4 linked regions of the Oryzias latipes genome follow. The protein of the gene in region 4 binds, or shares a complex with, the protein of the main gene of each other region. Links are inferred from orthologs where the notes say so. Each region holds a gene or a part of one and is shown on either strand. Other genes may lie near its edges. The genes, in order: c4h19orf70, MICOS complex subunit MIC26, MICOS complex subunit mic25a-like and immt.

Region 1 (7,868 bases), on a different chromosome or scaffold from region 4:
CTCGCTTGTGCAGAAAGCGCAGCAGCGGGGAACTGAGCGAGACGCCACCTCTGGACCCAAACTGCATCCTGGGCCTGCGGATCCAGCATAACTGGCGAGAACGCGGGAACCACAGCAAGTGGAAAGGAACCGTGCTGGACAGGCTGAGCGTCAGCCCGTCGCTCTTTATGGTGAAGTACGACGGTTTCGACTGCGTCTACGGCATCGAGCTCTTCAAAGATGAAAGGGTTTCCAACCTGCAGGTCTTACCAGAGCAAGTTGGTGAGTCGGCAGAAGCTTTTCCTCTCCCACGACTGGAAGGTTTGGTGTTATCCGCCGTCTGAAGCTTCAAATGTCTCCACAGTAAATAACAAAGTCAAGATGCCCCTAGGGGCAGAAGAGCTGGTGGGCAAAGCTGTGGAGCATCTGTTCGAGAAGGAGGATGGAGAAAAAAACGAGTGGAGAGGCATGGTGCTCTCCAGAGCTCCAGTCATGACCAACTGGTACTATATAACGTACGAGAAGGACCCTGTTCTGTACATGTATCAGCTATGGGACGACTACGCTGAAGGGGACCTGAGGATCCTACCTGAAGCAGGTACGTCGCAGAACCGGAAGAACCTGTTCTGAAAGTTCTGATCCAATCCTTCTATGAACTGTGAAGAAATCAGTCTGCTTGGGTTTTTGTTTTAGAATCTCAGCAGACAAAGCAGATGAATTTAGTTGTCATGTTACAGATGGGTTGTTGTCAGAAACAAACAAAAAAAAGAATAAAAGTTAAGAAATGTTGACTCCAAAAAATCCAGAAAAAAAAGGCTGGGAGGGGCTTCAAATAGTTCGTTGTTTTTTTAAAATAAGGTTATTTTCTGATTTTGACTGTATCTAGATCTTATAAGTAAGGGTTGTAACGGTACACGTAGTTGTATCGAACGTTTCGGTACGCCAATTTTGGTTCGGTTCACTTTTGTACCGTTTTGGTACTTTTTTTTCCCCCCCAAATGTCTTCACTCTGCACCGAGGCAGAACTACTGTTAACCGTGAGTTTCCGCCAAGACGCCATTCGGTAACGGAGGTGACAGTAAGCATGTCAACATATGGCTAATGCAGACGTGAGGCCAGAGATTGAGGACCCCCCCCCATCTCCTTACGCTCTCCTGTGTGGGAAGGCTTCAACTTTGTTGTCAGCATGAAGGGGAAAGACGATTGGAAAAGTCGAATGCTGTGTGTCGACATTATTATACAGACATAGCGTATGCCACAGTAACATGTAATCTACTAACGCACCTAAAACTGCATCACCTGACTGTAACAGTCGGGTGTACAAGAAAAAAAAAGTGCAAGTTAAAATGTTTGTTTTTTCCAGGCCAGTGTTAATTATCCAAAGTTTTTGTTTCCTGACAGCTAATAGTTGTATTATTTTATATAGCAGATAACCTACATAGGTCCATTTTATATATTTTTATGTAAAACCAATAAATGCACTTTGCAAGTCATTTTGTTCTGCCTTTTTTGTACCAAAAAACCACTGAAAATGTACCGAATCGAATTGAGATTTTAGTGTACTGTTACAGCCCTAATGATCACTAACGGTTACAAATGAATCACGTAATTACAGAACCTTCCAAAAATTAGAATATCTTTGAAGTGAAGTATTTATTTCCACAAGTCCTTTCAAAAATAGACTTTCATAGAATAGATTCCGAAACGTTTCCACACAGACAGAATTGCATCACTTCCTGTTTTCCAGTGCGATTCAAAACAGGTCTGTCAACTCCTTGACGATCTCCCTGCATTTCATCCTCACAAAAGGGAAACAAACGGATGTTTGGTGCCACAAAACCGTTTGAGGAGCGTTTTTCTCACCGTCTTTGTCATTTCTCAGAAAACAAGCACCTGCTGCCTGCAGACAGAAAACCAGGGGAGGAGACGGAGAGTCTGGTGGGGAAGCAGGTGGAGTACGTCACCGACAAAGGGGTGAAGAGGACGGGCTTGGTCATTTATCAGGTGCCAGCCAAGCCCTCCGTGTACTACATCAAATATGACGATGACTTTCACATTCATGTTTATGACCTGGTCAAAACCAACTGAACGTGATGGACACTTTTATCGCACCTTGTTTGCTTTTTGTCGTCCCATCCGTCTTTCTGTTTAAGAAGAGATGCTCAGCTGTGTTGGCAGCACAGTTCGCCGTTTTCAGTTGGAGTTGGGTTCTTTTTATTTCTTTTCACGAGTCGTTAATTGAATCAAATCTGCACTTTGTGGCTTTTGAAAAGACACGAACTCCGAATAAAGGCCTTGACCCCTCCCCAGAGAGCAGCCCCCTAGAATGGCATTGATAGATGGTAATTGTCGTCAGATGCATGTTTTCCAACCCGTTGCTCCATATTTAGTTGCGACATTCCCAGCTGCGTTTAGCGATGTCTGCTTTGCTGAGCTTCTCGCCAACACTCCCGTGTCGGAGGTATCACGGACTAGAAACCCGTCTGGATGAAGACAGCAGCCTTGCGTTTGAATGTGAACACCCCCACATCATCAAAGTGCCTTCTGGCCTGTTGGAATCAGTTCGTTGCCCCTGACAGCCGCTCTTTAGTCCCCCTCCCTCAACAGCGACACTGACCCCGTCAGGAAAGCTGTGCAGCCGTTGGTTTGATGGGAAATGCATCCTTATCCATTGTATTCTCTCACTGTTGTGTTGTGAGGAGCACTTTATTGTGTAACGTTTACATATTCAGATTCAAGTAAAGGAGGAACTCGTTTCCTAGAATATACTTTTTTTGTTTTAAAAAACTGCAAAATGCTTTAAATGAAGAGGAGATAGTTCTGCTGGTGTGTACATTCTCTGTATGATCATAACAACATCTGTAGTAAACATGTGGACTTCCAGCTAACAGACTATTGTAACCGCCACAGGAATTCTCGTCTTGTACTCTTATATTTGCTTGCAGAAGTGATTTCATCAAACTTAATGTGATGAAACCGCAGTTCTTTAGCTCTTCGGTTCTGGATTTCTCCGTTAAAGTTGCATGAAACAGTGAAACCGTGCCTGAAGTTAGGAAACTTTATTTCTACATGTGGAAATAACGAGATTTAAAACAGACACTAAACATCAGAGCTGGGGAGCCCTGGAGGTTCGGATGCTCAACTGACGCTTTGGTTTCCTGTGTTTCGTGTCAATGTTATGGAACAAATAAAGTTTTTGTGCATATGATTGGTGTTTTTTTTATAGACATTGTCATGACCAGAACTTGAACATGAGACACTAAAGAAGGCATGAAAAGGTCAACTAGAATATTTACAACTTTTGGACATTTAGACTGAGAAAAAACCTTGCTTGGTGGGTAAAATGAGTTGGTTTACAGCAAAGAAGAGGTTCTTTAAATACTTCATTTCCTTACAATAAGCTCAGTCTTCATTACATGCCTCTTCATAAACAACTGCTTTTCTAGGGCTGATTTAGGAGTAGTAATGTGTTACCATAACCTTCCACTTGGGGAGGAACGAGGCTGAACCTCTCCAAAGTGAGCTGTTGAGTGCAAAAGTAAAACTGATACCGGGGGGGTTCACTTGAGGAGGTCTTTCACAAACTGAAACCCCTGAGTCGTCATTTCACTCGCTTTTGTTGGAGCTTCAGAAAGTCTGGAAATCGTCCACCGCACTCCTGCAATTAAAAAGAAACGGTTTTCAGGTCTCACAAGACAAATTTAAGGAAAACTGAAGGCGAAAGCTGATTGAAGACGTGCACACAAACCCAGGTGGCTGCAGATCCTTAAAAAGTCTCATGTTTTGTTGAACTACAATAAAGTCTTGTAAAGCATTAAATTGTCTTAAGGTCCCACTCGGATCATCTGTTGATCTCTTTTCAAAGCGTTCCCAGTGTTCTTATTGCCATTTTTAGTCTAAAAACCTGTCATTTTCCAGGACAGTTTCTGCAGGAGCTCATTTGAAATTCCCCTTTGAGTTGTGGGCGGGACTTTTGGTAAGCCTTCCCCCACTTCCCATCATCAGTCTCTTCAGCTAAATTCTTACGAACAGGTTTTAAATTTCTCATCGACTGATGTGACCTGTCACCCAAAAAAAAAAGAACATTTCTGGGATGCGCTGTGTCATAAGGTTATTAACTGGTGGTAAATCGTTTCACCTCTGCTAGCTTATTAGCTCGTGCTCAGCAGTGTGTGTCTTGGAAATAGGGATTAGTCGTAGTGGTTAAACTTATAAGTGGAAATCTTTATGAAGCAAACTCTGCGGTTTGCTGAAAGACATTTAAACTTTACATAGCAAGGATCATAGCAATGGAATCACGTGTAGAGCAAGAAACCACAGACTCCCAACTCTCTGTTTCTATTTTTGTGCATATAGGGTCTTAAATTTTAAAATCCTTAAATTTCACTTGAGCAAATCTGTAGACCCCCTGCAAACACAGAGGCACAAACTCAGCAGTGAAATGACAAACTGTTTCTCTTATAGAGGAAAACCCAAAAATGTCCGTCAGCTCTTACCAGAGTTCCACGCCTGGACCGGAGAAAATTCAACGTTAGGGATGGTTGGAAGCTGAGTCTGCTGACAGAGAAATAAAAAGAGGAGGTTGTGTATTAGTTAATGGGACCAGTGAAACTTAAGGGATGCATTAATGTGCAGATCTATAACGGTCCTCTTTAACCCCAGGAGAAGTCACCAAAGACCAAACAAACCCAAAGACCTCTCACTCAAACCTAGTTTGTTTGTACCTGAAGACCGAAGTACTTCATCCACTCCTCAATGGCGGGGGGGACAGCGGCTCTGGCCTTCTGTAGGGCCTCAGAACCTTGTTCGCTGCCCCCCAGCAGCCCGGAGTCATAGGCCACATACACAGCCCCTCCCGCTATGCCCACCTTGGTCGCGAGTCTGCAGGTAATCAGAGTCCATCATGAAACGCAGGTCATCAAAGATCGTTGAGACAGAGATGATAACACAAGTAAACATTTTAAAACGTTGGTTTGACAGAGAAACTAAAGGACTTTAGAAACTTCTCAAGACGCGCTGAGTACAAATGAGTAAATTATAAATGAGTAAATTAACATTCAGTTTTGTGGATACAGATACAGAACACATAGTTTATATTAGAGTTAGCTAAACAGGCAAAGAACATTTGTTAGCTTTGCTAGCTAGTTTGATTAGCTAGCTAGTCGGCTAATCCCGCATTTAGCATCACTTCTCCGAACATTTGTAAAGTAAAAATGAACTAACTTCACTACAGGCAAAAGCTTTGTCGCCATGATCCACGGGTAACCGAACTATCCCGAAGCCACGACTGTGACCTGAAAGAAGTCAAACCTAGCAGCTGCACTGAAGGACAAGCCGGATTCTTGTCCTGTCAACCACAGCTGTGTTAATAAAGTTGGATCTTGGAAACTTAGTTCCGCTGCAGAGCAACACATTCGTTCTGCCTCACTTTCTAATGCTTTATTTTATTTAACTTTTTAAATCACAGGTAAATACTTTTTAAATAAAAATGTTTAAAAATTATATCTAAAAATGAAAAATGATTTTTCAAAGGGGTGTGTCTAATGTGAAGTTCACGCCCAAATCGCAAGAAAAACAGTGAAATGGGGCGTTTAACAGATGTACTTTTTTCCATGGGACCTCCCTGAACTTGTCTGAGAGCAGTGTTGCCAAATGCAGCCGTTGTATAACCACAGATCAGCACAATTCCACAAAACCCAGCAGTCAGACCAGTTGCTGCTTTTTCCAAAATGGCTTTTACTAAAGTCTTGATAGTCAGTTTATGTGTAGTTTTTTTAGCTGTCAAGTGGACTTCACCCACTTTTGATCCAGGTGAGCAGAAATCTGTTTCATTTTTTAGTCAGTCTTATTATTTAAGGGTTTGAGGCTCAGGGTGGATGTTAGTGGACCTTCTGGGGCGTGCATGTGTTCCTAAAACCGCATTTTGCAGAAATGATCAGTCATTTTTCGCAGTTGGGTTTCTTTGTATGCTTATTTTAATTAATTTTTAATACTCATTGAATGTTTCCTGTTGCTATCATTAATTTGGAGTTATCTACCATTCACAGATTTGTGTGCCATGGCAACATAACGAGGATCATAAAGATAACATTACCTTTGCTTATTGGCGAATGGGGCCACAGGTTCATGTCTTTACTTGCATATTGAGCTGACTATTCCGGTTTTTTCCCCTTTGCTCTAAATAGTCAGCTCAAACATATATAAATAGGATGAAATTGTGAACATTTCTGCACTGAATTAATTTACCTATGCACAATAATGTTGCTGAGGGTTTACTATTCCCTCTGGGAAAAGTGGGAGTGGAAACCAGGTAAACGGTTAGAATCTGCTTCAGTGGCTGAGAGGCCTGACCTCAGCGAGCGCAGCTTTCATGCAGAAAAGCTGATCAGTCAGTTTTCATGCTATCCTCTGGTAATATCACCATCCTTAACAACTGTAACAAACTCCAGCAGCGCTCAATCAGAGCTCAGGGTCACAGGTTGAAACGTGTTCTGATACTATAGGAGGTTCTGTGAGCCGCTATCTCTTCATGGGGCAATTATAAACGCCGCATGACTGCGGTTGGATCTTTGTACACTTCTGTGTTATCACACATATAAGGACCAGTTGTTATCAGTCAGTTCAGGGTAACATAAATGTTTTTTTAGATCATCATCATCATTTGTTTATAAAGAACCTTCCACCACTAGCCAAGGAGACCCAAAGTGCTGTACACATGGAGAACAAAACAAAAAACAATTAAAAGCACAAAACCAAATTAAATCCCTGTAGGGACATAAATAGAAAAGAATAAAAAGCATAAAACCAATTTAAGAGAGATTAAAACCAGGGTTAGGCTGATGCTAAAGCGCTGAAATGGAGAAAAGTTCTTTTTTTAAAGTCATCTATAGCGTGACCTCTCTAATTGCCGGTGGCAACTGATTCCATAGTTTAGGATCCAACACAGAAAACCCACCGTCCCCCCGAAAGTTACTTTTGGTTCTGGGAACCATTAACACAAACTGGTGAGGGGAACGTAAGGACTTTGGAGGGGAATATTTTAAAAGAAGACTGGAGAGGTAAGAAGGAGCCATACCTGCAAGAGACCAACATTTTAATGAAAAGCAAGTATTTCACTGGCAGCCAGTTCGAAGAGGCCAAGATCGGTGTTATGTGGTCAAACTACTTTGCCCCACAAATAAATTTGGCTGCTGCATTTTGAACCAGCTGCAGGCTATTAATGCCTTGGCTAAGGCAGAATATAAAGAACTGCAATAATTTAGACTAGACCAAACCAAAGCATGGGTGACCATTTCAAGGTTAGTTTTTGATAAGAAGACTTAATCCTAGCCAGACGTCACATCTGAATAAAGCAGGACCTGATCACAACCTTTATTTGGAGGTGAAGCTTCAGAGCTGCATCAAGTTTCACACTCAGGTTTGTGACCACAGACTGTTCAAAAGGGGCAAGAGAAAGGAAACCAACACCATGATCTTTTCCCCCACTAGGGGTAAACACAATTACATATTTTGCTTTCATTTAGGCCACGACCTATCTTCAGCAAGGCAGTCAATTATTAAGTTAATTGTGCGGTCAGGTCCCTTACATACAGGGACATAAACTTGACAGTCGTAAACATAAAGGTGAAAGTTCCCCTCTTGCTACCGGAACAGCATTCCCAGTGGCAGCAAGTAAATAGAAAATAACAACGGGCCAAAAACCGACCCTTGAGGGACCCCCCATTTCAGGGGGTCACACTTGGATGAGTGAGGACCCATTCTAATGCAGAAAGACCTAAGGTAAGGTAAGACCACATCCACTGTAGGGCTTCCCAGGAAAGCCCCGCCCACTGTTCCAACCGGCCAATTAGGATCTCATGATCAACTGTGTCAAAAGCTTCAGATAGATC
Region 2 (6,507 bases), on a different chromosome or scaffold from region 4:
TGGGTAAGCATTAAATTCATGTTTACGTCTTGTCGCAGGAGGATGGATGTTTTCAGAGCGCTAGCGGTGGCTAGCATACGGCTAGCTTTAGCTTGCTAGCTAACGCACGCTGGCTTAGTTTAAACCAATGGTGAAGTCCAGCTGCTAGCTAGCCGACATGTTTTCAACATTACGATTTGTGTAAACAAAACAAACAAAAAAGAATTTTAGCGAGTGAATTGTCATGAATTATATACATAATACAAAGCATCTATATCAATAACGGTTTAACTTTTTTGTCGCTTTCAGGTACAGTTGACAAACACTCAATTGAGGTGACGAACTGCTTCTCTGTCCCCCACAATGAGTCAGAAGATGAGGTGAGTGTTAAACATTAGCGAAATTTAATTGTTTTGCACTTCAACTTAAGGTTAAAAATGTCTCAAACTTTATTTTCTCTTAAAATCTTGGAGAAAGCTTGTACCTATAGCATGATGAATCATATTGCATTTAAGATGACTTCTGTGTTTATTTGAATGATCGATACTTCTGTACTTCATAAATTTATGTAACATTTAACAGGATTTGTTTGTATTTGTTGCCCTTTTTAACACTTGCAGCTTGTTTTGCTGTGATGGCGTACAATAATTCTGCTGCTCAGAAATGATCAGTAAACTAGTTTGTCTGTCTTCAACACCTGAACTAACAAACTGAAAACTATACAAATGTGTCTATCCTCCTGACTACCAGCAATACAAATGTGTTCGGCTGATCCTTTTGCATTCACCTGATGCTGTGTCATCAACGTTATGCTTCATGAGGCGACTTTAAGAAGAATACGTTTCTAGTTTGAAACGGTGAAAAAGTTACTGCCACAATCCTATTTGTTTTCTCAACACACCTCAAATACAATGTGCACGTTCCTCCTTTTTTGAAGGAGTGATCTTCTGTCTGTCCTATTGACAACAGGTCGCTGTTGACATGGAATTTGCAAAAAACATGTATGAGCTTCACAAGAGGGTGTCGCCCACAGAGGTCATCATCGGATGGTGCGTTAGCCGTTTGTATCCGGATACCTATACTCAACAGCTAAAGTTTTCAGATACATTTAAAAGGTGACCTTTTTCCACCAGGTATGCCACAGGCTTTGACATCACTGAACATTCTGTGCTCATCCATGAGTATTACAGCCGTGAAGCCTCCAACCCCATTCACCTGACTGTGGACACGGCATTGCAGAGTGGCAAAATGAACATCCGGGCCTATCTCAGGTAAGCGGATCTGTGCTGCCAACTTGTGTCGTCGTGTTGAGGTTGAGAGGAATCTAAATGTGTTTGTGTATGTCTTACACAGCGCACAGATGGGTGTGCCAGGAAAGACCGTCGGCGTCATGTTTACCCCACTCACCGTCAAATATATCTATTATGACACTGAGAGAATAGGCGGTAAGCAGAAGATACTCTGGTGGTAAAAAGTCTTACTTTTGAGTTATTGGGTTAAAAAATGTTTGTCCCCGTTTCAAATGCACTTCAGAAATGTATGTTTGCGTTTGTAAGATTTGTTCAAAAGCAAATGTACATTTCTATAGCTGGACTTGAATATTTGTTTGTTTTTAGTGGACCTTCTTCAAAGGACACGGGATGCTCCGAGTCGCTCCAAGGGTCTGACCTCTGACCTGTCCCAGGTGGGTGGAGCTGCAGCCAGGGTACAGGACATGCTGACTACGGTGCTGGCATACATTGACGATGTGTTGGTGAGTATTAAGGCTGTCACAAAAAAAATAAAACAAGAAGACATCCTGTGTTGGCACATATGACAAAGTGAAGTGGGTGATCTCTGGTGAAAACCTGTTGGATCTGTTCCAGTCTGGGAAAGTGGCAGCAGATAACAGCGTTGGCCGGTTCCTCACAGACCTGGTGAACAAGGTGCCGACCATCCCACCTGAGGACTTTGAGAACATGCTCAATTCTAACATCAATGTAAGTGCTTCCCCTGATACTGTAATTACAATTTGCATGAGGTTTTTTTTTACCCTTTTGTACTTCTTGACATTGTGAAGATTAAAAGATACTAGCATCTGTACGACTGTGGAACTGGAATTGTTTCTGTGAAATTCAGTTGTGTGTATTTTCTACATGGACGTGCTTGTGGTTTGCTGCAGGACCTGTTGATGGTGACGTACCTGTCCAACCTCACCCAGGCACAGATTGCCCTGCACGAGAAGCTGGTGCTGCTCTCCTGAAATGAACTATTTAAACTTTCTTATTGTTTGGCTGAAGCAAATAAAATGTTAAACAGTCGCATCATGATGTTTTCTTTGGGGTGGGGTGGATCTTACATATAAGAACATCTCAAATTTAAGTTTACCACTAATTAAGAAAACATGTTGAGTATTTGTGACAGTGGTATTGCGTGTTTATTCAGCTTACATTTACTCTTTGAGGTTTCAAAGTGACAATAGTGTTTAAACTCTTTATTTCAGATTATAAAGAGGATTTGGTCAAATGCACAGAACTCTTAAAGTGGAGGAATAATTATGAAAAAACTTTAAATATATTTACTTTGTATTTCCTCAGTAACTTCATTTAGTACTTTTTGTCCTATTCAAGTAACAGTAGACAGCACGTGAGACTCCGTTAAAGTGTTTCAAGTTCTTTTATCCAAAGCAAAATATTGATCTTTATCATTAAATATACATTCAAATCCGTAGCAGAGGTCAATTATTAAAGGCAAAGTCTGGCCTGAGTAAAGCATGAGGAATAGTGCAGACATCAGAGTGGAACCTGTCCAGGTCCATCATCTACAGTACTAGAAAAGCTGCTGCCGCGTGATCCGTTATTGCTGCGCGGGGACGTCCGTCCGTCCGTCCGTCCATCCATCCATCCATCCGTCATGGTTTCGTCTCTGCCTTGCTGCCTTTTCCGTCTTTGCTCTGCGGGCTGAGGAGCTTCTCCGCCGCAGCGAAGCCCCGAACCGCGTATCCGTACACCGAATCCCCGGTTGACTTTGCGATGGTCACCGCCTCCTCCGGGTAGTACAAGGAGGCGCTCACGGTCATCAGACCAGCGGGGTAGATTAACTTCTTAACCCTGGAGCCTCTTGCGAGGAACAATCCGAGGAGCCCCGTGAAGCCGATGATCCCCGCTTGCGCGTAGAAATCCTTGGGATGGTTCTGCAGGTAGACGTAGGAGTCATTTCCGGACTGCACGAGACTCTCCACTTTGGGTTTCAGTTTACCGACGGTGGCCTGACACCATCCCGTGTAGGGCTCAACTAACTTCCTGAGGGTGGCGACGTGCTCCTCAAGCTGCCCCGCCGCTGGCTCCACATAGTGAGGCTTTTGAGGAGCGGTGTACAGGGACAGGTCATCCAGCTTTAACCGGGCCTCGGGCTCTTTCTCCCCACCATCTGCGGCATCAGCAGCCCAAACGAGCGGCAGCAAGCGCGTGGATCCCGGCATGGCACTACCTGTCACCTTGAACATGATCCCTGAGGGCCATACATCAGCTACGGTGTCCGAGAAGGGACACAAATCATGACGCCGCCTCCCAGATATTTGCGTTCGTTTTGCTTTGACAGTAAACTTGTATTGTAAAATTGTATTTGTTCATTTAAATGAATATAAAAATAACGTGATTGAAGTTGTTTTTTTTTATGAACACGACTTTATATTCCATTAAAAAAATCTGATTGTTGGATAAAAAATATTCTAGACTCTTCCTGCCTTAAGTTAAAAATGTTCTAAAAAAAGAAATAATGTTACAAAAATGTTCTTTAGTCAGTTCATCTTTGCTAAAGAAATAAATTTTTTCTTTTCTTTTTTTGTTGGTTTCCATGGCAGCCTGAAACCCATTTGTTTCCATGGTGACGAGCGTCAACGTTCCAAACGTGCAGTTAGCATAGCAGCTGCGAACTTTAGTGTCTGTCAGATATTACGGTCGTTGTGGCCTTTTTTTGGTGACTACATTCTACACCTAAACAAGGCTAGTGTTAGTTTTAACATCCATCTTTTGAATAACACGTTTTCTTTCCAATGGATTATGTGGGTTTATCATCCGAGGAGACCCTCAGGGCTCTGTCTGCCCTGTTATCCACCAAGCAAGAAGACGAAGAGGAGGAGGAAGAGGATCAAGTGAGATTTAAAAACACTTAAGCAGAAAGAGAGAATGAGGAAGTATGTCAATACTTTTTTTAACCTCACCAGAGAGTGACTCCATCTGCACAGCTGGGCCCTGGACAAATTGGTCTCCCTCCACAGAATTCTAAAGAAGGTAAAAGGGCAACATTCAAGTTCTGGGTCTCATTCATGTTTTAAAAATATACATATTTGTGCATTACAAAACAACGACAAAAAACACAAAAAATTGGGAAAATCCCTTTTTTTAAATTTGCAGATAATGCAGAGAAACCCTTTATGTGGCTTATACTGAACCTAGTGTAATGCAATAAAGCAACAAACACTAAGGATGTCACAATTACAAACCAAAACCGATCCGTGTGTTACACGGCTGAACTGCATCATTGGTCAAGTGAACCGTTTCATCTCTACTGCGTACCAATATGGTTACGTTGAAAGTGTCAAACGTATTGTGCTAAATTGATGAAGAATTTATTGTTCATTGTTGTATTGCATGTATTTATTGTTATATTACATTACACAAGGCTAAGCTAAAACCATCTGAAAAGTTTTTCTTTATTGTCATTTAGCAATTTAAAAAAAGGGTTTTTCAGAATTTCTTTTGTTGTTGTTGTTGGTCTGCAATACACAAATCATGCAAGCAAGCAAAATCGTGACGCAAAAATTGAAATTTAAACTGAATTGAAAGTGTATCACTGCATCCTTAATAAACAGTAAATCCCTCTTAAACGTAGCATAACAGCTGGTATGCTGCAGGGATGCAACATTTCACTTTTCCCATGATTAGGTTTTATGGCGTAACATACTGTTCAGTTTTTAATAAAGAATTGTGGCATCTCTATTGAATATTCTTTATTGTTTATCACAAACCTTCTCAAAATGTGTCATTCTGAGGCTAAATGTGAATGTTAATGTACGTGTGACGCTGCTGACACAGAGCCAAGTATAAAGAAGAGCAGCAAGGATATCTGGAGTGAGGAGGAGGTGGCTGAAGGCTCTCGATTCATGGACTTTGCTGACCCGCGGCCACAGCCTGAGTGAGACTCACTGCTAATAAAACATACTTTTGAGGCAGCTTGTTTCACTGGAAATTGCTTATTATTATTGAAAATTGTAAGCTTTATTCTCCAGATCATGTGCAAAGTGAGTGTTTTATATGCAATATCTGTGTACAGGTATGAAATGATCCTCAAGCAAAGTGTGGGAACAGAAGATGTGTTTTTTGGCCTCAGTGGGAAAGACCCCTCCTCCATGTGCTGTGAAGCCCTGCTGGTCCAGTATTCAGTTTTCTTTTATTGTCTTCAAATAGCGCAGAGTGTCATTTTTAGTGAATTCCAAAAAGGAACAAAGCATAATCTGAAAACCACTTTTTAAAAGTGTGACAACGGAGAAGACATTGAAGAAAATACGTCCAAATGAGTTTTTCAGAGCACTAATTTAGGAGGAAGACGTTTAGTAAAAGATGTTGCAGGTTCTGTGTTTTGTCAAAATTCTCCTTTGAAACTTTTGTAGTTTAAGTTTAATTCCTCTTTTGAGGCTAAAATTCCATTTGAGCTGCTAATGGACTGACATAAAACTTAAAAATATACATTACACACTTCTGCTGCTTTCAGGTCAAAATTCAGCTTCCAGATACCAGAGCTACAGATGTCGTCTTGGATGTAAAAGAGAAGTTCCTTGATCTGAGGACACCGAAATAGTAGGAAATGCTTGGAAATATTCTTTTATTTAACTCTTATGGATGAGACTTTGCAGATCAGGACAAACATTTCTTTTTATGATATGACATTACTTTCATCCCTACTTCCTAAAGAACTGTGATTTTAACAAACTGTGCTCTCCTTCTCTTTTTTTTCTTCTCTGTCTTCTTCACGTCAGCAAACTGGGCCTCCATCTTCCTCATCCCGTCCACGCTGAGGAGAGCAGGGCACAGTTCTTCAGTGAGAGGGAAGAACTGCAGGTGACTCTGCTGATGAAGCGCTCCATGGATTTTTTCAACATGCAATAATGAAGACAAATATGTGTAGCACAAATAAAAATGGTAACCCACAATAGGCAACTGGTTTCCATAAAACTCTATTTTTAAAAAGCACACAACCCAACTCTAACTAACTTTTTCTGGGCTATTATGGAAAATAAGAAAAACTCAGGCTACAAAAAAAAGTATTGCTCCAAAATGCAACCCAAAATATGAAGAATTATGTTAACTAAACAACCCAAGTGTTTTAGCAGGACACCAATGACACTGTGACAAACAAATACATATTATAACAAATATCATGGGATTGATCTAGTACTGTCTAAGTACTGATTTAAATTAGAAGATTAAAATATTATTCTTTTTTTTTTTTACTAAAGTGAATCCAAATTGATCATTAAAGAATTTAAAT
Region 3 (7,792 bases), on a different chromosome or scaffold from region 4:
AAAGGGACACAAAAGGAGAGGAAATGCAAAAAAAGGGGACAAACAATGACCATTTGGAAAATAATTCTTATTTTTTTTACTGACTTCACTCCATAATGTTCTATTTTGTTCCTTCATTTAAGTATCTTTATTTATTTTAACTTCTTTGGTAAAATCTGACAAATGAAAGAAAAGACAAGACGTCATTTGTTTCTTCTGGAAAGTAACAATTCAATAAATTCAATATTGGTTTCCAAGTCAAAATAATGTACATAAAATGCATTTGCTTAACATTTAAAAGGGGTTTTGGTTCTGAAATGCGTATTAAACGTTTGGATTCTTGACATTGATGCTGTCTAAAAGCGGAACAGTGACGAAGATATTCGACAGACGTTTTCCTATATAGGTAAGGAATTAAAAAAAAAAAAAAAAAAAAAGATGAACTGCTGCAGAGTCCCCCCCCCATGTTATTGTTCGCCCCACTGTCCCCCACTGTGAACGGCTCCAATATTGCTCGCCATTTTTTGTGGAACCAGTAAAGTTAGGGTGGGGGGTGGGAGGGACTGTAAGCTAGCGGGGGAGCACGTAAATGGATGGGTGATGCAAAGTGGGGGTGGGGTTGCTGCACCCCAACAGTCCCGCCCACAACTCCTGCCGCTCTGCAGAAACTATGTTCTAAAAAAAAAACAAAAAACGTTTTTACATTTTGGCTCAAAACGGTTCCTTCTACTTCTTTCTTTCGCCTGTTTCTTCCTGTTGGGACATGGGCCGCATGCGGGGGCTCTCCAGGTGGGCCGGTCTTGGGCGAGTTCTTCCAGCTGTCCCAGCGTTTTCCCCAAGCCATCGAACCCTGCTTCTGGATCCCGGCGCCACGTGTTCCTAGGTCCCCCCCCACGGTGTAATCATAATTAAAAGACCACTGGGAAGACTTTGAAAATAAATCAGAATAGAATCAGAGTGGGACTTTAAAGACTTCGTCACCTTTTTAAATGACAGGAGTTCACCTACCTAAATGTGTTCTTCAATTTGCAAGAGAATTTGTTTAAAAATGTTATGTTGATTGCTGTTAAGTCCAGTTGAGGAGGAAGGATTGTCCCCCTTTACTTTTCTTAGATGGGAATAAGTGAATGGATTTGTTTTTCATTTGGCTTCGTCTTTTCTTTTCTATAATAGCTGTTGTAGTGAGTAATGGTTTCATGGGAAATAAAAGGACCTGAACATCATCAGTGATGAAGGCCAATGAAGGACATGGACGTACGTATCTGCAGGTACAGGGACCGTCTGCTGACGGTGTTGGAGGAGGAGAGGGGGCAGCGCAGGAAAAGCACGCAGTTGGAAGTGAACGCACTGGGGGAGTCGCAGCAGCAGCTGCTGGAGATCCAGAGGAAAACTGCACAGGTGCTCAATGAGAGAGATACATGCCTCTTCATACGCAGGTAGAGCACAAAAGCCTTCCCAACTCCTTAAATGCTACTGTGTCTACACTGATTGAGCAAAAGCGCTGCAGTGTACAAGGAAACTTCTTTCATTATTGTTTTGATTTATGGACTGTGTGCTTTTGTACCTGTTTTCCAGATTTATGATGATAGAAGAACAGCTGAGGGATGCTGTCACGAGCAATTTCTCCAACAAAATCTCCCTAAGCCCTCCAGTCAACACCAAGCGCCTGCAGACCAGCCTGAAAACCCTGGACTTCCGCTCAGAAATGACCCGGCTCATCGATGCCCTTCACATCCTCCTCAACCCGCAGGAGCTCACCTTTAACGTTTGTACCGCCCACCCCAACTTAAATGTGTCCACTGACCTGTGCACAGTCAGGTTCACCTCCAACAAGCAGCCCTACATGGACCACCCGGAGCGCTTCACCAGTGCGCCGCAGGTTCTATGCAGCCAGGGCTTCTCCAGCGGTCAGCACGTCTGGGTGGTGGAAGTTGGGCCCAACTGCATGTGGGCCATGGGCGTGTGCTACAAGAGCATCCCACGCCGCGGTGACCACAGCCGTCTGGGTCACAACACCGTGTCTTGGAGACTCCAGTGGAAAAATGGCAAACTCACCGTGTGCAGCTCCTCCAGTAATGTTGTGATTCCAGAGAAAAAGCCTCATCCAACCAAACTGGAGATGGCGCTGGACTATGAGGGTGGAACCCTGACGTTCCACAGCATCAAAGGCAGCAGAGAGCACATCTACACCTTCAAAGCTGTGTTCAAAGAACCCGTTTTCCCAGCATTCAGCATTCATTCAAGCAACCCAGACTCCTGGATCACGCTTCATAATGGAATGTAGAATGACTGTTCACTATCAACTTTACAGAACATTTTGGAGATCCACAAGCCAAGGCATTCCTTTAACACGAAAGCTTTGTTCTTTTTTTTGTTTATAAAAGACACAAACTATCATTTATGGTGTATCATATGTTTTAAATTCCTAAATGTTAATTTAAATCTTGTAATGACAAAAGTATTGACTTATTGATGGGGAGGAATTACTGAGAAACAATAATTCTAAATATATTTACACTTATGAGCAAAAAACAACTAATACAATAAAACATGTTTACAGTTTTTTCTTTTTTTTACATTTCTGTTAAAACAATTAAATAGAAAGTACATAGACACTGGCTGATTCACCTTTTTTGGTAAAGAGGTCTTAGTTTTGTCTCCTATTTTCTTTTTTTTCCAAACTATAGTAAAACGTGTGCACCTGCACCAGCTGTCAATGTCATTGTGCAAAGTTAACCCGGTGAACCACCATGGAAAGAAGAATTATAGACATGTTTTGTGTTTGGGGGTTAAATAAACTTTGAACAGAATGTTTGCTGTCTGTTGGCAAACGTTTGACTCATCGTTACCATAAAGATTTATTATTTTTATTTACTTTTAAAGGTACTTTTAATTAAATTGTATAAAATGCAGCATATGGTGTAAGCGTTGCCAAATCTGATGATAACCCCCTAAATTTACTAAAGTATTTTGCAAGTATTGCAACTTTTAAATTTTTAAGAAATGTTTAAAAAAAATTGCTGCTTCACTTAAAATAAATAAATAAAAATCAATCATATGAAAAGGTTACTGCACTTACACGCAAACATCGGGTCATTTGGGGACATTTCCAAGCAAACCTGGCAACCCGCATCCCATCTGTCACACATTCTGTCATTGGACAGGGGCTTAACGGAATTCTTTGATAGTACTATCAGTATTTTCATTAAAGAGGGGGGGCTCATTCTAACAAACGGCATGGGCTTAGGGGAAAGTACGACCAGAAAAGTGTCTTATGGCGTGGATGAGGAGGACAGAGTCCGGATCCTTCGCGGAGTAAAGGTAATTATGCTACTTCTGCTAGCGTGTGATGATAAGGCTAATAGGGTGTGTGGAGCGCTGACTCCCCGCCGAAAGATGTCTCCTCCACATCTAAATGTACTCCAAGCGAAGGCAGAGCTTCGTCCAGAACCCACGAAACAAGTGGCGAAACGGTGAGGACAGACGGGGAGGAAGGGGCTGGCTCAGCAGGGATGAACCAAAGTGACCTTTTCGGTTACGCCGAACCTCGTTCGTAAACAAGCGCTTTTTAGCGTTCCTTCATTATTTTCCAACAAAACAAAAACATTTCATAAACTTTCAACACATCTCATAACTCTTTGGTGTGTTATAGTGAATTCGGCGCAAATATTATCTACATTGATGCGTAAATATTGTTTTAAATGACGCGTTTGGACTTTAGCATGTTGCTTGGGTTTTGGCTAATATCTTAATCGAATTCAGCTAATAATAGCAACAAATAAGGGACGAATAAAACATGAAAAACAAACTACACAGACTGGGCTATACTATTATTTGTTTTGTTAATAAATTACATTTGTAAGCGAGGCTCTGTGTTAATTTAACAGTTTTAATTGAACAGATTTTAAATCAAGTTTGGTTTAATAGCTGGCTTGACAGTGATGCGTTCACGACCAATACTAGGAGTAGGAATTGAGCGATCGGCCACTCAGCAAAGTGTAATAAATGACATTTATGCAGCCAAATAAAATCAACATTAGTTTTTCTACACCATAACTGTCTGTGTGTTTTATTGTTGGGGAAGTTCAGAATTATTTAAAAAGCTTTTAGCTGTACACATCCAGCCGAATGAGGGGTTGCAGTTTAGATCTTTCTTTGTGTTTTGACTGACTTTTTCTATTTCATTTTTAAAAATAAATTTTAAGGTAATTCTTACATTTAATGGCTGCATGGGGGTAAAAACCCATACCAATGTAGTTGGCCCCTTTTTAAAACGTTTTGCTATTATATAAGTCTTTTTTTTGCAGTTTACTGAAAAAAACTTTGTTTAAACAAAGAAAAAAGAAAAAGAAACGCTGGTTACACATGTAAAGTTGTGAGTCACAGAATCAGTGACTCATAGACTTGATCTGCCTCCTGTGGTTTTTCATGTAGCTATTTATTTTTTTTAGCCATTTTTCCTGGGCCATTCACAAGCAGGCGCCCAAATTAAATAGGCCTGCTGTGTTTCCTCAAACATTCATGGTATTCTGAGTTTTTATAGCTATTGCAGAGTTGAGATCTTTATGCTTATAATCTGGATATTGTGACTAAGCGAGCTCTTTTTTTTCTTTACCAGCTGTCAGAAGATGTTCTTCAGAGGATGCGAGGAGTAGCCAACATCAGTCAATCATCACTGTCCTCAGGCCCTCAAGGAGACAAAGGTATAGTTCACTTCACAATTGGTGAATTATTTTGTGTCCCACAAGAAAAGTCTTTGCTGAAAACATCCAAAGTGCCCGTCCTGATAGCTGAGATACATATAAGTTTGTGTCTCAGGTGGAGACGATCACCTGTCTGGGTTTTAACACAAGAATCTGTGTCACAGGAGGTTTTTTTTTTTTCTGTTTTTGGTCGACACAACACAAAAGTCTGGGTCTTGCTTGAGTACAATTCCCAGAAGGCTGAAGGTTCCACAGTTATCAGTTGTTGAAACAGTGTTTGGGTATAAACATCATGGGAGCACAAAGGCATCACACCTCTGAGAAACCCTCCGTCCCGGTAAGGACCACGCTCTGGTGGTCACAACCCTCCAGAGACAGTGGAGGCTGTGGGAAAAAATACAGATTTGGTCATTCTGCATGAACAAGTTGGTAGTGGGGGGTGATAAAGAAATGATCAATCTGGGGAAAAAACATGATTATCAATTGAGGAAATACATAAATTACAGCTAAAAGCCCCCCCCCCCCCCCCCCCCCCCCCCCCAATCAGGCTTTCTTGGCTTTAGACACATAGGGGTCCACAAATTTTGATTGGACTGTTCCCTGTCCCCCCCCCCCCAGGATTGGGTGGGGCTAGGGGTCCCTTGCGCCCCTGACCTTGCAGCTCTTTTTCCACGCGGGGAGGACGTCCACATCTGAGCTGGGTAGGGCAGTATCGCCCGTGGAGCGGGAAGGACCCCTTTTCTTGGGACTCCAGGGCCCCCCCAATTTTTCCATCGTTGCTCACAGCAACCGGAGCCTGGTCCTCGGGCTCACCGGGCCCTGGCCCTGTCTGGGGCCTCTGCTGGTCGCTGGTTTCTGCCGCTTCCCCCGGTTTGTCTTCGGCGGGGCTGCGCAGTGCGGGCTGGCCATGGGTGTTCCAGGCCTGCCTCGGGGGTGGGGGCGGATGGGGGCTCAGGACTCCCGGACGGTGGCGTGCCTCTGATCTGGGTGCCGGTTGTAAGTCCCGCGTGGTCGCGTTTGGGGTGGAGCGGGTCGCTGCCCTGGCGGGGGGCCCCGGCTCTGCGCGCTCTCTGTTTCTCTTACTTCTTGACGGGGGGTTGCTGGGTCTTGCCCTCTGGTTCCGTCTCTGTGGTGGCGGGCCCGCGGTCTGCCCCTAGCTCTGGGGTGTGGGTGGGCTGGAGCATTCAGTGTGATGAAGGTACACTATAAGCAGCACAGTGTGTGAATGTGTGTGTGTGAATGTGTGTGCATGGGTGAATGGGACTGTGACTGTAAAGCGCTTTGGGCCTTAGAAAGAAGGTAGAAAGCGCTTTATTAGTATACGCCATTTACCATGTTTGTTCAACCCACCTCCATATTCACTTTTGCCCAAATATGGGCATGGGTGAAGAATATTGGTCATGCAGATCTTGTGTGTAGCTGTGTGTGTGCAGAAGTTAAGTTCAGTCGATGCATCCTGTGAGATTCGTCTTCCAGGTATGAATAGACTTAAAACCTGTAAATAGCTGTTGGTGTGTGTGTCATGAAATATACTGATGACACAAAAACATGCAGAATTATGCAAAAAAAACATTCATTTTTATATGACCCCCCCTGTTTTATCAGGTTCCTCTCCTGGCTCTAGCTCTGCCTCTCAGTCCAGGCAGAAGCCAGAGTCCCGAGCGCCGTCCAGCAAACCAGCGTCCACTGCTAAAGAAGATCAGAGAAGGTGGGTAACGTCTGAAGGAAGACGAGAAGTTTTTCTGAGCTAAGTCCTGTTGTGGAATCTGAGAATCTCCATTTTGAAATCTTTGCACTGGCTCCCAGTCAGCTTTAGGATCGATTCTAAGGTTCTTTTATTAGTTTAAAAAAGTGGAACTAAACACTTAGAATGTGATTTATGTATTATTTTGTTGTTGAACCAGACATTGTGAAATCTGAATGTATCCCTTATCATCTCCCTTTGTGGTCCTCCATCCTGGTCCTCCAAACCCAGCAGGTATGGGGAACTTAAAGAAGAGTCCAGTTTTGGAATTAGGTTTTTTTTTAAGCAACCAAAACAAAACAGAAAACTTGAAGAAGACAAACAAATAAATGTATAAAAGCCATTGATTTATCAAACCTAGTAGTTTATACAGGTTTCAGTCAACTGGTTTTTAAGCCAAACCTTCTAGGCAGATGAGAAGAGATGAGCAAAACAGACTGATTTGCAACATGTATGAAGTTTTTAGATGAGTAGAAGTTCATTCTGGGTTAAGCGGTGACTCACATTTGTTTAGATCTGCATCCAGCGGCCTCTGAAAACTGGAAATGTGCTGCCCCCTTGTGGACATTTTCTTTCTTTTAAGAGTCAAACCAGGCTGAGTGAGAAAACAAATGCATCCTTCTGGGAATAAACAAACTCTTGTCTTTGCCAAACCTTTTAGGTTTGAACGGCAGCAGGCGATACTGAAGGAGGAGCTGGCCAAGATTACCCAGAGAGAAAAGGAGCTGGCAGACGAGAAGACCAAAGCCTCCATCCAGGAACGACAACACGCCCGCCAGGAGTCTGAGAAGACTAAACAACTGGTATGAAAAAAAAAGGATCTGGAGCTTTGACTGCAGAAAACACATTTTTGACAGTTTAATGTTGGTAAAAGAGATATTTTCGGTGGTTTGTTGAGCCTTTTCAAGCTCATTTTCTGAGGCTTTAGGGTCAGGACTTTCCCAGTCCACCTGTGAAAGACATTTAGTTTTCTGCTCCTTCACCACAGAAACCAGACTTTTTTTTTATTGAATGCTCATTCTGTTTACTCATTACAAAATCATAAAGCACATTTCCTTACATTAATAAGATTGTGTTCTATTCATTATGTCATACAGCTTTAGCTTTCTAACACATTAAGCTAAGGAGCCGGTTAGCTAATTGGCTGGTCTGGGGTTCAAATCTCAGTCTGTCTGTTGACAAGACAGCAATGTAAAACAATCTATGGATAAAAACCATCATCAGTTATTTGTTTATAAAGCACCTCCCACCATCAGCCAAAGAGACCTAAAGTGCTGTACACGTGGAGAATAAAATAATTAAAAGCATAAAACCAAATTAAAACATTGTAGAGACATAAATAGAAACGAATAAAAACATCTGCTGA
Region 4 (7,214 bases):
TACGTCAATCTGAATTCAACTTAAGACGTTATGTACAAAGAAACTGCTCATTATGAGTACAAATCCATACCTTTGTGCAAACATGGAATAATGAGAGAGCGCTCTCACGCTGCTCACCTCTATGAACACAGCCAGTTAATTAAAAAGAGCAGAGAGAAATATTGCTTTATTCTGAAAAAAAGGAGGGATTTGTTTTTTTGGTTTATGGCTACTGAGTTCTGGATTCTTGATTCTGTATGGTTTTTTTTAATACCACATTCTTATTTGATGTCTGCAGTGGTGGTCAGATGACCATCAGACATGTCTTTCCATAAAGCCTTCTGCTCTTCAGCAGAAGCTCCTGTTTCACTCCGGGGTCTGGTGGAAAAAGGCAGAACGTTGTCAAATCTGGGACTGAATCCCAGATGCATAAAAAGTCTGAAAAATCATTTCTCAAAGCAGAACTGTGACGCGCCTCAGCAGTAAACTCAGGGGTGTGGCTCACAGGCTACAGGTTGTGAAGCGCCGCTCTGGTGCTGCTTTTCAGAGCTGAGATTCTCCCATCTGTCTCTTCTAGACTGTCTGCTGGGTTTTGTTCACATGTGAAGAACAGAAGTCCTAAAAACAGGAGCTGCAGCTCCTCATCCATCACTCATCCCAAAGAGAAGATTACAAGCTGCAGAAACACATTTTCTATCATTCAAAACGCTGATAAAGGAGTATTTACTGATACTTTTTCTATTTGCTTCTGATGGATGACCTTTGTTGATCTTATAAACCGGATCCATGTTGTCCTGATGTTAGTTCATGATGGATCTTAATTGTTTTCTAACAGCACTTTTCTTCCACCACAGTGGTTTGGGTGTGACAACAAGAACTAAGGAGGTTTTCTGCAGCCAGATCTTCTTCTTCATGCTCGCCCTTGAAGTCTTTGATCTCAAAAAGCAGGAGGCACCTCTTGTTTTTTTTAAAATGACCAAACTGATGAAAGGATCTTCTAAACCTAACTGCAGCACGGGTCTGGATGTAGGCGCTCGTGTGTGTGTGGCGTGGCGGAGGCTCAGCATCAGGCGCCGCAGCTTCAAACCTTTCTTTCTTGCTCCAGCCGGGCCTCCTCCTTCACGTGCTGCAGTGAGGAGCTGACGGCCCTCTCCAGCACTCTCTGGTCCTCCAGCTTCTGCTGCTGCAGAGCCGCATCGATGTGGACCTGCTCCCGGACTCTCTGCTCTGCCAGCTCTCGGTTCAGCTGGTCGATCCGGCGGTGAGCGTGGGCAATCAGGGCGTTCAGGTCGTCCGTGGACAGCTTCCCCGCTAACAAAAACACACAAAATGGTTCAGTTCCTTATTCTACAACCATTCAGCTGGTTTAGTCTGCCGGGTTTTTGTGGTACTAAGATGTCCAAGTTAGAGGATGAAGGTGAGTCTGACTCACTGAGGCCTTTCCAGTTGGCTTGGATCTCTGGAGTCAGGCTGCTGACCTCCTTCTGGAACTGCTGCTTGGCTTCCTGGACCAGGTCACTGTACTGGGACACGATCTTGGACTCCACCTCAGCCGACTGCACCTGCATACAGATCCTTTCTATCACCATCATTGTCCTGGAGACGGCTTCTTAAGTGAGGCTGAAGAATGACCACTGCTTCTGGGATCAACACCTCCCAACATCTGTGAGCAGCTGAAAGCAGGGCGTTCCCCCCGTTTGGGCCTGACTCTGCCTGAAGATCTGCTGGATTTGTGAACCATGAGGAGAAATCTGCATCCAACTTACACCCAAAAGTAAGGCGCTCTTTGACATACCATGGCTCTTCAAACTCTATGAGGAAAACGTGCGATTTGTTCCATTTAACTACTAACTTAAATATGAGTCAACATGACTTCAATTATACTCCAAATGAAACTAGTCTACATGGGAGGCGGGTATCTAACTTAAAAAGCGTCCATCTGATTGGTCAAATGCATAAAGGGATTTATTTGATCCGTTGAATACTTCAAGCTGCCATAAGATTGTTTTAGCACGTTTAAGGTAACCATTTATTGCGTATTGCAAAGATTGATATCGCAATAACGATACATTTGCGATTTATTGTGCGACCTAATAATTAGGATTTTGACATGTTGGCATTAAGCCCTTTTTTTTTAACTGGATGGACTGATGTGGAGCTGGTCATTGTGGCTCAGACGCACCTCCGGCTCTCTGTCTCCACCACTGTCAAACTCAAACTCAGAGAGAAAAGCCTTGTGCTGTGGAGACGCTCTGGAGGGTGTACGGATGTGCTGAACGTACAGAAAACTCTCTCCAAATAGTAGTGGGCATCTCGGTCCTCTGCATGTCCCTCTACTGGTAACTAGCAAAGTCGCTTTTAACTCGCTACCATAAATGTTATTGTTCATATTTATTTGACGGGGAGAAATACAAAAAACACAGATCATTGCATTGAGACAATCTGATGCCGGCGTTCAAACGTCTCCCTCCTCTCCTCAGCGAAACACCAGACATAAAGCCCCCGCCCCCAACAGGCCGCCTTCAGCAGCTCTCTGCCATTCACGGCCCAAGAGACGGCGTTTGATTGCTTAACTAGTCCAACTATTTTTGTTTGATTTTTTCTGTGCTGCCGCTGACAAAAGGAATTTCCCCATCGTGGGATTAACAAAGTCTTCTATTCTATTCGCTGTGAATTGGGTCTACTGATGATTTAACTGCGGATCAGTCTAAGGCGGGGCTTAGACTCACCGCTTATGGTTCCAGACCCGCAACAAACTAACAGCTGCTTCCTAAAACTTAATAATAAGTAACAACTAATGATATTCTTCCTCCATACAATTTATATAATTTATTGGGTTTACTGGATTTAAAAAAAAATAAAGAAACAGAAAGGAGTCCGTATCAAAGTGAATTTGTTTCCATCATCTCACTTAACTTAATTTAACTCTGGGTGTTTGACAGACAGAAGTCCATTCAAGGTTGTCGAAAATGGACAAAAGATCAAAGGAAACATCACGCTCATAAAGAATAAAAATACTTAAATACATATCCTGTCTGGAACTTTCTCATGTATAAAGTAAAATGTTTTGTTAAAAAAACAATGTCGTTGCAAAATGAGGAAATAAAACACTTTGTTCTTAATTTGTTATTTGTATATTTATTTATTTTTCTTCCTCATAAAGTATCGATAAGAATGTAGTTAAAATACCGGATCGATAAGCAGTATCGATAAGAGTAGTAGTACCGTTACAACCTTAACGATACCCATCCCTATTTGCCACTGTGCACTTTTTGTTTCAACTTAACATAAATTATAAATCCTCCAATTTATGCTGAAGTTTGACTTTATTACTATTAAAAACTTTCAGGGAAATCTTTATTTCACTTAAAACAAAACTAAAAAATTGCTGCTGAGCCTGTTGCTCCCTGCACTTCTAGGAGGAGCTATGTCTTTGGTTGTTTATTTACCGGTACTTGTTTTTTGAAATAAACTAATTGTTTGTGTTTGTATTCTTCTAAATTGTAAAATATTGTCACCTTTACTGCAAATAAATATCGCCTCCAAATACTGATTACCTGCCTCCTTGAGTAATAATGTGTCCTCTAGCCTGAGACCGGGTTAGAGGCAGAGAGAGCAGAGCAGCTGCTAACCTGAGCCACGACTCTGTCCAGGTCCACCACCATCTTATGCAGGTTCTCTTCAGCTGCCAGGACCAGCGGGCGGACGGCGGCCACCTTCAGGTCTTTGGAGCCGTTGATGGTGGCCCTCAGACCATCCAGAGCTTCCCTGCAGGGACGAAAACACAGCTTCAGGGGACGGCGGCGCTCTGTGAGCGGCGGAAGGACACGTGCACACGCCTGAGTGCACGCTAGGAAACGAGGGGAATGTAAAAACAGTCCGACAGCTGGAGATGTTCTGCTGTTCTGAGGCCCAGAACGGCAGAGGAGTGCTGCTAAAGAGCTCAGGAACCAGCAGACAGCAGAGGTGACCTGAGGTCAACAGGGTGACATGTTTTCGGGGTGGGGGTAACTTGCTTGGCTTTCTGAAGGGCAGCTGTCGCGTCCGTCACAGCAGAGGTCCGGTCCATCAGAGCAGCTTCTAGATCCTTCCACTGGACGGACTTCTCCTCGGGAGGACTCTGCTGGGAACAGAGTGTCAGGTCACTGAACTCCTCCCTCTAACGAGCCAATCACATTCCAGAATGTTCCACTGCTGTTGCACCTTCTGTTAATCAATAATCCACATTCGTTTTCAAACCTCTATACCGTAATTCAATCTGAATAAAATCAAACCTCATCATGACAGGTTTTATTTTTGAAATGCTAATTTCCTCTCAGCCCTCCATAAAAAAAAGATGACAGACATTTTCTGTCATCTTTGGAAAAGCCGTGACAAATTTAAAATCCAGAGTTTATACTAAGAAGCTTTTGTCTACTCTTTTTTTATGTTGCTGCTGGAAGCTTGATTGGAAATGTTTATGGAGCATTTTTGTGTGTAATTTTGCTGTTAAAAAGCAAAATAATAGTCTCTGCTAAAATATTTAGTTGCTTTCATTTTAAATTACTCTCTAGAATCCTTTTAATTTATTATTATAAACAAACCTGAGCTTCCATTAACAAAATGATTCATTTCCTTATTTAAAAACTCACAAAAAAAAAAACAAGAAATCTCCCAAATGAATCAGGAATCCATTATCCAAGTAACGATGGACTCCTTTTTTTTTTTTGGGTGGTCTTCCATGACACTGACCACAGGCCCCAGGCCGCTGAGGCCATGGCAGTACCTCTGCTTCCATGGCCTCCTTCAGCTTCTGCGTGTGCTGGTTGATGGCCTGCAGCGCCGCCTCCTGGGCTCCGATGGCCTGCAGCGCTGCTCTGGCTGAACAGGCCAGAGATTCCTCCAGACTGCTGGACACCGCTGGAGAACGGCAAACATCAGACAACCGGCATGAGCCTCACGGTTCTGTTGGAAACTGTCACAAGTCGGGCGTCTGCTGAAGACCCCTCCCACACTGAGGAGACAGTTGAGGTTCTGCCTCAGAGAAATCAGGTTCTCGCGTCAAACCTGCTAAAACGTTCTGCTCATCCTGGTCCTGTTGGGCCAGACGGGCCGACACCTCCTCGGCCGGACGCTCCACCAGCTGTTCTGTGGACCCGGCGGGCGAATCGGCGCCGCTGTGGGCCGCCTCTGAGCCAACGTGGTGACACTCGTCGCAGTGCTCTGAAAAAGAGAGCGCACGCTGAAGAGCGTGCACGTGGACCACTGATAACAGCAGCAGTCAGCCCCCCCTCCACAACTATTTACTGCTAACAGTGACCCTGCTAATGGTAACCATCAACGAGTAACAACTCCCCTAGCCCTGCAGTAATCTGATTACTCTACACATGTTCCTGCTGGGTGATTTACCTGTGACCGCTGTGGGTTGGGTGTCAAACGGCGCCGGGACTGAAGGGACGTCGCTGCTGGCAGAGATGATCTGGGTGGCCTCGGCTGAAGCTCCTGGAGGAACAGACAAGGAGAAGATGAAGGTGGAGTGGACCGGTCGTGGAGAAGGACCTAAAGGTCTGACACAAACTCATCCTGAGCTCAGGATCTGTCCTTCAGTGGAACATGGTGTGTGTGAAAGGACAGGCTAGGATCTTCTCTGTCCTCTAAATCCTTGTTTTTCAACCTTTTTTGAGCCACGGCACACTTTAACCATGACAAAATCCTGCAGCACACCAGCATCCAAAAATGACAAAAAAAGAGAAACTCATAGTCTGTATTGATCTACAGCACCTCCACAATCACACGTGCATTTTTGTGATGATTGTGGCAGAAAAGCTGGAAGCTGCAGCTGTTTTTTCTAAAAGATGTAATAAAAGTTAAGTTAGAAGATTTAAAAACTGTTTGATGTGTGTTCGTTGTGGTTTCAAGACGTTAAGAGGAGAGACTCATTGTACGCTGAGATGCTGTCACTCTAACCCAATGCATTATGGGTGATGTAGTGATGTCAGACAGACTCACTTCTCTGAGCTTCATTGTTTTGTTCACCTGTTCCACGGTCTGATACCAGATTCTGTGGAAAGCTACACCGCTAAAGACGAGCTTTAGCTGGAATTTTTGTTAGAACTGAGAGACTTTAGGAGCAGAATCAGAACAAGGAAGTGAAGAGTTTAACCACTTCTGATTGGTCAGACTGATGACATTTGATTAAGCCTCCAAGAATGATTGGTGGAGACAGTTAAAGGGGCGGGACTTTTTCAGAAATCAGCTGACGCTGCGGCTAAATCGCAGTACCATCATTCTTATCAAAATGTCTTTAATAGAATCAAATAAACACAAAGAAAAGTCTTTTATGATCTTTCATATTCCTAACTACTCAGTGTTTTATCAGGGCCTGTTTGGATGAACAAAGAGCTGATTTCCTGGAGATGGGAAATGTTTTTAGATCAGTTAATGAGGGCAATTTCCCACGGCACACTGGTTGAAAAACACTGATTTATATAGTATTGTGATATATATCTGTATTTGTGAGTTATGTTTTTAAGGTTGTGGAATATTTACTTTCCACCCCACCCCCCCTTCATGCCTCTCATTCTGCCTTGAAAAATCCTAATGGGAGGATCTTTGACACCATTTCTCGTTCTTTGCACACATGTTTATCTTTGTACGTGTCTGCCTGGTTAACACAACTTTCTGTGTGTGGAGGTTTTTAGAACTGATGCCCTTCCCACAGCAAAGCCTTCAACTATTACGCTTTGGATTCCTCACAAACCCTCTGACGGCTGGTCCTCGTGAACAACGGCTCAGAGGGTCTGTACCTGCTCAGCTGCAGGTTCTGGTTCCAGAACTCACCCTCCATGGTGACAGCAGGGGGCGACACGGAGGGAGTGGGCTCTGTGGACCCCGTTTGGGCGGCCCCCTTTACTTTCTTCTCTGACTGGACCTTGGAGGTCTTGGCTTGTTTCTCCAGCATGGATTGAGGCCGAGTGGACTCCAGCTGAATGTCAGGAACAGGCATAATTGTCAAAATGTGGCATTAAAATATGAGTCTAATTAATCATTCATGCATCATCCACAGCAAATCCTCCGTCTAACCCCCCCCCCCTGCATCACCCTAAGTCACACTCATGTCCTCCTGCACTACAGCCGTCAGCCTCCTCTTTGGTCTTCCTCAGGTGAGTCTTTCAAAATACATAATCACAGATAATTGTTCCAAGTTGCTTCAAAATAAAAGGCAGAGAAACTGTCCCTCAAAAAATAGAGAACTT

Evidence for each region.
Region 1: immt (region 4) and c4h19orf70 share a complex: the UniProt entries of both Homo sapiens proteins name them as parts of the mitochondrial contact site and cristae organizing system (MICOS) complex. The link is inferred for Oryzias latipes from reciprocal best matches to the Homo sapiens genes IMMT and MICOS13.
Region 2: immt (region 4) and MICOS complex subunit MIC26 share a complex: the UniProt entries of both Homo sapiens proteins name them as parts of the mitochondrial contact site and cristae organizing system (MICOS) complex. The link is inferred for Oryzias latipes from reciprocal best matches to the Homo sapiens genes IMMT and APOO.
Region 3: immt (region 4) and MICOS complex subunit mic25a-like share a complex: the UniProt entries of both Homo sapiens proteins name them as parts of the mitochondrial contact site and cristae organizing system (MICOS) complex. The link is inferred for Oryzias latipes from reciprocal best matches to the Homo sapiens genes IMMT and CHCHD6.

Annotation. Positions count from the first base shown.
Region 1 is NC_019862.2:7,381,984-7,389,851, forward strand, and holds c4h19orf70 (MICOS complex subunit MIC13), read right to left. Parts: upstream 5,355-7,868; 5' UTR 5,232-5,354; coding exon 5,203-5,231; intron 4,861-5,202; coding exon 4,704-4,860; intron 4,537-4,703; coding exon 4,476-4,536; intron 3,638-4,475; coding exon 3,540-3,637; 3' UTR 3,024-3,539; downstream 1-3,023. Other genes in the region: spinb (spindlin protein B), read left to right, coding at 14-261, 344-577, 1,862-2,067. UniProt on the Homo sapiens protein: Component of the MICOS complex, a large protein complex of the mitochondrial inner membrane that plays crucial roles in the maintenance of crista junctions, inner membrane architecture, and formation of contact sites to the outer membrane.
Region 2 is NC_019875.2:2,471,342-2,477,848, forward strand, and holds MICOS complex subunit MIC26, read right to left. Parts: upstream 3,488-6,507; 5' UTR 3,464-3,487; coding exon 2,870-3,463; 3' UTR 2,380-2,869; downstream 1-2,379. Other genes in the region: eif3f (eukaryotic translation initiation factor 3 subunit F), read left to right, coding at 1-3, 289-359, 949-1,028, 1,113-1,250, 1,333-1,424, 1,596-1,732, 1,845-1,958, 2,141-2,221; protein PIH1D3, read left to right, coding at 4,013-4,111, 4,184-4,250, 5,055-5,154, 5,293-5,389, 5,731-5,816, 5,996-6,125. UniProt on the Homo sapiens protein: Component of the MICOS complex, a large protein complex of the mitochondrial inner membrane that plays crucial roles in the maintenance of crista junctions, inner membrane architecture, and formation of contact sites to the outer membrane.
Region 3 is NC_019865.2:2,284,030-2,291,821, forward strand, and holds the start of MICOS complex subunit mic25a-like, read left to right. Parts: upstream 1-3,103; 5' UTR 3,104-3,216; coding exon 3,217-3,300; intron 3,301-4,597; coding exon 4,598-4,682; intron 4,683-6,287; coding exon 6,288-6,390; intron 6,391-7,087; coding exon 7,088-7,229; intron 7,230-7,792. Other genes in the region: E3 ubiquitin/ISG15 ligase TRIM25, read left to right, coding at 1,248-1,415, 1,555-2,263. UniProt on the Homo sapiens protein: Component of the MICOS complex, a large protein complex of the mitochondrial inner membrane that plays crucial roles in the maintenance of crista junctions, inner membrane architecture, and formation of contact sites to the outer membrane.
Region 4 is NC_019868.2:4,709,524-4,716,737, reverse strand, and holds part of immt (MICOS complex subunit MIC60), read right to left. Parts: intron 6,944-7,214; coding exon 6,799-6,943; intron 5,461-6,798; coding exon 5,368-5,460; intron 5,182-5,367; coding exon 5,026-5,181; intron 4,879-5,025; coding exon 4,745-4,878; intron 4,103-4,744; coding exon 3,996-4,102; intron 3,748-3,995; coding exon 3,612-3,747; intron 1,542-3,611; coding exon 1,412-1,541; intron 1,291-1,411; coding exon 1,067-1,290; intron 1-1,066. UniProt on the Homo sapiens protein: Component of the MICOS complex, a large protein complex of the mitochondrial inner membrane that plays crucial roles in the maintenance of crista junctions, inner membrane architecture, and formation of contact sites to the outer membrane.